Mus musculus: one gene and its partner. The protein of the gene in region 1 interacts with the protein of each later gene in a biochemical or structural test. Links are inferred from orthologs where the notes say so. Each region holds a gene or a part of one and is shown in the gene's direction. Other genes may lie near its edges.

The links.
Region 2: the proteins of Tcerg1 (region 1) and Sf1 form a complex in vitro, tested with the Homo sapiens proteins (3 studies listed by BioGRID). The link is inferred for Mus musculus from reciprocal best matches to the Homo sapiens genes TCERG1 and SF1.

The regions. Positions count from the first base shown.
Region 1 is NC_000084.6:42,563,459-42,567,282, forward strand, and holds part of Tcerg1 (transcription elongation regulator 1), read left to right. Parts: intron 1-624; coding exon 625-775; intron 776-3,824. UniProt on the Homo sapiens protein: Transcription factor that binds RNA polymerase II and inhibits the elongation of transcripts from target promoters. Regulates transcription elongation in a TATA box-dependent manner.
Region 2 is NC_000085.6:6,373,541-6,376,288, forward strand, and holds part of Sf1 (splicing factor 1), read left to right. Parts: intron 1-32; coding exon 33-213; intron 214-469; coding exon 470-743; coding exon of another isoform or gene 744-747; intron 748-1,008; coding exon 1,009-1,068; intron 1,069-1,178; coding exon 1,179-1,358; intron 1,359-2,117; coding exon 2,118-2,455; 3' UTR 2,456-2,748. UniProt on the Homo sapiens protein: Necessary for the ATP-dependent first step of spliceosome assembly. Binds to the intron branch point sequence (BPS) 5'-UACUAAC-3' of the pre-mRNA. May act as transcription repressor.

The DNA.
Region 1 (3,824 bases):
CTTTTACTCTAATCCTGGTGACAGAAAGTGGTTATGCCATGCTTTTCAACCGTGGGTTGTGTTTGAGGCCCCACTGGGAATTATCCTTCAGTCAGTCTTCTGGGGACTCGTGTTTTCTCTGCTCTTTCAGTGCCCAAACTCTTGCAGGTTTCTAGCCCTGTGTTGTACATGAATTCCAGTAGGGTGTACCTCAGGAGTTCTCTCCTTCAGGTAACTCACTGTCATCTCATCTCTAGTCATCTGCTTTAAATAAGTTGCCCTACGTCCTTTGTCTAGTTTGTGAAGAGTAGTCAGAAAAGATTTTCCACTGTGTTTGAAGCAAGCCTTGGCTACACCCTGGAGTGTCATGATGAGTCATTAAGTCTCTAGATGCACGTGTTCTTCATTCCTGGCCTTTATTAAAAAGTAATTTATTATATTCCCCTAATCTGGGCTGGTAGCATACACTCACTAACCACATTTTCAGTCCGTCACTCTTTCTATTCCTTCCTGTGGGTCAGTTTGAATTTGGGACCCGAATGTCTGTGGTATATGTTCTTGCTAGGAAAGTGGTAATTCCTTTATGCTTGTTTTAGAAACAGAAATAGTCAATTAAAGTTAGCATGCTTGACCATTTTCTTACAGAGCTACTTTTAGTGAATTTGCTGCCAAACATGCTAAAGATTCAAGATTCAAAGCAATTGAAAAGATGAAAGATAGAGAAGCATTGTTTAATGAGTTTGTGGCAGCTGCAAGGAAGAAAGAAAAAGAAGATTCGAAGACGAGAGGGGAGAAGGTGAGGCGGCTTAGTTGTAGGCGGGAGGGGAGCACTTGCATGTGTGTTCCTTGGATGTGCACAGTTGTCATACACATTTATAATCACTTTATAATCACCTCTTTTCATAATGCTTATTTTATGAACGTAAGCAAACTATATACAGTTGCTTTAAATTCTGATAAATAAGGTGCCTTGTCAACCTGGAACTGGGTTTTAGAACTGCATGCTCTGAGATCACTAAAGTGTGTTAAGATTTCAGAAGTCTTTTTAGATGTTAACATTTGAATTTCAAAGGACTTCTTACTCTTTGTATTCTATAAAAATATAACTTTAGTAAACTAGTTTCTAATCTTTTAGTAAACGTATCTTACATATAAATTATTGCTTATCAGAATTAAAGGTCAGCTATTAAAGATTAATGCATCTGAAATGTCATTTGATAGCAATGCCAGGAACAGAGAGCTCAGCACTGTGGAGGCAGAACAGCGGGCAGATGACCCCAGTGGTGCCCAGCCATCAAAACAGTCACTCTCCTCAGTGTTCCGGTCTCTTTGTAATAGGGGAAGGGGGTCTGGAGCCTAATCACGCCTGACATTCAGAATTGCTGCTTACCGTGGAAAGCTAAAATGTTACAGATTCTGTGAAGAAACCTTGTTAGGGCAGTAATCCGAAGGCTCACTTTTAAGACGCCTCTTTCAATTAAGTTAGTAAGAGTGCTAGTTAGATGAAACAGCTTTTGACAGTAATAGCAGAATTCTGATTATCTGATGGCTTCAAAGTAAATTTTTATACAATTATTTTACAGGTGACTTAAAATTATTATGCTTCTTAAACATACAGAAAAATCATGTGAACAAAAAAAATCACATCTCATATGTTCATTTAAAATCCCATAAATTGCTGCTTTTGATTTTTTTTTTAAGTATATAATTTAGTTTTCATTTTATGTGCACTGGTCTTTTGCCTGCATGTATGTCTGTGTGAGAGTGTCAGAAGCTCTGGAACTAATGTGAGCTGTCATGTGAGTGCTGGGAATTGAACTCTGGTCCTTTGGACGAGAAACTAGTGCTCTTAACTGCTAAACCATCTTTCCATCCCCTACCTTTGACTTTTAGAATAACATATTCAATTAAAGAAAACCAAGTAAATGATCATTTGATAGTCTATCATTGCACTTTTACAAATTGGATTATTTATGGCATAACTTTCTAAACATGTTTGAGATAACATGGATTTTATTTTTATAATAAGTGCTAGTCTTTGCAGTTTTCTAATTTAGTTTTAAGAGCTGCTCATCACTGGTGCACTGTTAGAGATTTCCTACTTGTACTGTTGCTTTAACGTCCGCAGTTCTGGTACTTACTAGTCTTACTTTTCCCCCTGACCTCTTTATCCTCTGGCTTATAAAAGACTGAAAGTCTGAGCTAATTTCAAAAATACAAAATGGATTATTAGACCAGAGAGAATTTATAAGGGTTAAGTAGATCTCTTGTTCACATTTTGTGAAGTATTTGGTTAATAAAAATGTTATCACTCTCTCTGTATTGTTTCTGCTAATCTTACACTTAAAAAATTAGAAGATAATTGTAGCCTTGTTAGTGGTGAGACTGGCAGCAGCAGCAGGAGGTAATTGACTGTGTGAGTAGTGAGGTTTGCGTCTGCGCAGCTTTCCAGTTTATGAAAACCACCTCCCTAGAGTTGGTCTGCTTTTATTTGGCTTATGTGCACTTTGTTTGCAAAAGTCAATATTGAAACTTTTATTTACTGCAATTTACTCATTGTAAATACTTCGTTCTTCATACCACACATTTGATGCTGTAGGCCTGGAGTTAACCCTGTTAGACAATTGGCGTTTTAATTAATTAACTAATTAATTAATTAAAATGTTATGCCATGTGGTGTAAGTATTTTTGCTGTGGTAAGGATAGAAAACAGGACTGTGAATTAAGCTCATGGTAAATTTCATTTTTTTTCCATTTATTCAGGTATTGACTACTTGTTGTGCTTAGCAGCCCTAGCATGTATGTCATGATGTAAGAGGTTATTTAAAGTATCACACACATTAAAGACTAACTATATAGTTCACATGTTTAGAGACTTTTAAGTTAATATAAATTCTCATGGCTTAGAACAAATCTTTTGACATAGAGTATATATACTATTTAGTGTAATTTTGCCTTCTAGTTATCAGACACACTTACGATTGATATTTATTAGGTACAAAGTTGGCAAGGTGAATAGAAAAATCGTGCTATTACATCAAATACTTTAATACTTGAAAAACTGGGCTTCTGAGCATTTTTATTAATATAAAGGTTAATAAAAAGGTTAATTAAGGTTCAAGTTTAATAACAGAAAAATCCATAGCTGATATTTAAAAATATTTCTGAAGCAGAATGCTTGTGAAATTTTTTGTCTTAGAACCTTACAAATGATTTTCAAAAAGAACATAGCCTCCCATAATTGTCTGAGAGGGGAAAGTACAGTTCTGAGAGGAGGGAGTAATGGGAATAGGTAGGAAGCACAATTCTTGTGCCACACATCTTAAATTCTAATTTGCTTCCTAACTCCTCACTCCTTGGTCAGACAGCAAGGAAAAATATTTAATCCCAGTAGTAAAGGGATGCTTGGCCAGAATCCTTTGGACTTTGGGTGTCTTCTGCTGTAGCCCTAATACCATAATTCAGACTCACTGGAGAGTCATGAGACAAGTGCCTCCTACATTTCCTCTCTGTTAAACAGACTGCTCTTGGACTGGGGGGCTAAGTTTAGTATTACTCAGGGCCTTTGACACTAAATGTGTGCTAGGATGTGACAGATGCGTTCCCTGAGTTTATAGCAGAATAAATACTTAACTAGTTAAAAGTCACAGACACTGAAATACTTTTTTAAACTAATGGTTAATAATTACAGAATTATTAGTTTTCTTATGAAGGTCGGTATAAATACTGTGTTTTTAAAAGCAAATATAAGTTTTTATTTTGTTTTGGGGGTTTGGTTTTGAAATAGGGTTTCTCTGTGTAGCTTTGGCTGGCCTGGAACTCACAAAAGATCTTCTTGCCTCTGC
Region 2 (2,748 bases), on another chromosome or scaffold:
CTCCTTACTTTGTGTTTCTGACCCTACTTTAGGCCTGGCGACCCTCAGTCAGCTCAGGATAAAGCACGGATGGATAAAGAATATTTGTCCCTTATGGCTGAGCTAGGGGAAGCTCCTGTCCCTGCATCTGTGGGCTCTACCTCTGGGCCTGCCACCACGCCCCTGGCTAGTGCACCAAGACCTGCTGCTCCTGCCAGCAACCCACCACCACCGGTGAGCCCTGGGACAGTTTTCTGGTCTAGCTCCCCTGTTCTCTTCTGCAGAGATAAGGAGCTATGGCCAAGGATTTGGGGTAAAGCTTAGAGGTGGATATAGCTGGCAACATTGTTTTTCTGGGATGTCTGGCCTCTGTAGGGTCACTTTGGGAGGACCCTGTCCGTGTGTCCTTGGTCCTCTGACATAGTCAGAAGAACAATGTTGCCACCAGGGGGCGCAGGCGCGGACATTGGCAGGAAATGCTCTCACGTAGTCTCTCATGTCTACAACTCAGAGCCGCCCACCCTGGATGAATTCTGGTCCTTCAGAGAATCGGCCCTACCATGGCATGCATGGAGGTGGTCCTGGTGGTCCTGGAGGTGGCCCCCACAGCTTCCCACACCCATTACCCAGCCTGACAGGTGGGCATGGTGGGCATCCCATGCAGCACAACCCAAATGGACCACCACCACCTTGGATGCAGCCACCACCACCACCGATGAACCAGGGCCCCCACCCACCTGGGCACCATGGCCCTCCTCCAATGGGTAAGTAAGTGTCAGACCAGAAACCTTGGGGCTTGGGAGGGGAGATAGGGTCACCCCAAGTAGTGAGCTGTGAGCTGCAACAGCAGTTTGGCTAGCTAGTACTCTGAATCTAGCTAGTACTCTGAATCTTGCTGAGGTCTAGGCTCATGGAGGATCTGTGCGGGGAGACCCATGAACTTTTGGGTCAAAAAGCTGAGAAAGCTATGGTGTTTTGCCTGGCCAGTTCAAATGTCCTGCTAAGTCCCTGCTCTTTCCTTCCATCAAGATCAGTACCTGGGAAGTACGCCTGTGGGCTCTGGGGTCTATCGCCTGCATCAAGGAAAAGGTAATGCTGCTTACTCTCTTGGGATCTCTGTCTAGGACTGGGAGCAAATGGGGCTTCTAGCCCAGGACCCTGCTCTCTAAAGCCCAGGACCCTGGTCTTACTGCCTGCAGGTATGATGCCGCCGCCGCCTATGGGCATGATGCCGCCGCCTCCGCCACCTCCCAGTGGGCAGCCCCCGCCTCCTCCCTCTGGTCCTCTTCCTCCATGGCAGCAGCAGCAGCAGCAGCCTCCGCCACCCCCTCCGCCCAGCAGCAGTATGGCTTCCAGCACCCCCTTGCCATGGCAGCAAAGTGAGTGGAATATTTTGGGCTTGTGGGGGTGGGTGGGATGTGGGCTAGGGCTGAGGGGAACAAGAACCTCATAATTTCACACAGGCTGGAGACACCTTCATTGAGGACTCTGGTCTCTCAGCAAGGGCAGTGGGGTTGAAAGCCAGGCTGCCTGGCCCAAGGGAATGTCTTGGGGAGGAGAGCTGATGTTTGGCGTGGTTGTGTTTGGGAGAGACTTGGGAGGTCTGGAGGGGAGCTTGCTGTTGTAGATAGAGCACCAGAAGTCCAGGCTAAGCTGCTGAATGAGCTGCTGGTTCGGCCATGCCTTGTGAGCGGAGTCAAGAGTGGGATGGTGCATGCATGTTCTGGAGGGGGTTGTGATTGGGCCTGAGAGACTGCAGAAAAAAGGGAAGGGGCCGATGGGGAGAGAGTAGTTGTGGGCTTGAGGTTGAATGTGCCGTTCGGTGGTGGCGGCGGCTGGGCGGAGGGACGTCAAAGCCGGTTCTTGTGTCTGGAACTTTCCCCTGAGCCCCTCCAGGGGCATTGGTGACAAAGGGCTTACTTTGTTAAGCCCAGAGACCATGAGGCTGACCCCAGGGTAGTCCTGCCCACCCCTCCACTCCCATCACCAGGACAGCCCCGCCCGCCCGCCCCCCACCACCGTACAGCATGCCAAAGCAAGGAGCAGGCGCCCCTCGTCCCCCCTGTCCCAAGGCAGCAGCCGCAGAGAGCCGCGGTGTACCCCCGCGCGTGTGACCTTGGGCTTCTTTACTACCCCAGATACGACGACTACCACCACGAGCGCTGGCACAGGGTCCATCCCGCCATGGCAACAGCAGCAGGCGGCTGCCGCAGCTTCTCCAGGAACCCCTCAGATGCAAGGCAACCCCACTATGGTGCCCCTGCCCCCCGGGGTCCAGCCGCCTCTGCCGCCCGGGGCCCCTCCCCCTCCGCCGCCTCCGCCACCTGGTTCCGCCGGCATGATGTATGCCCCACCCCCTCCTCCTCCGCCTCCCATGGACCCTTCTAACTTTGTCACCATGATGGGCATGGGGGTGGCGGGCATGCCGCCCTTCGGGATGCCTCCAGCTCCCCCACCGCCTCCACCACAGAACTAGACTTGTTTTTTTTTTTTTAAGAAAATATATATTATATACATAGAGAGTTGGTCTCTTATAAACACACGCCGAACCTCACCATATGGAGCCAGACATTGGGATGCACGCATGTGATTGTGTGTGCACGCATGTGTGTGTGTGCACGCACTGGGCTGGGCCAAGTGACTGGACTCGCTTGGGAAACGGGCAGTGGTAGTGGGGCGCCAGCTTGAGCTTTCCTGGCACCTGTAGCATCGAGTGTCTTCTTTGTCTTCTCTCCTCACCCAACTCCCTCTGCCTCTCCCCAAACCGGG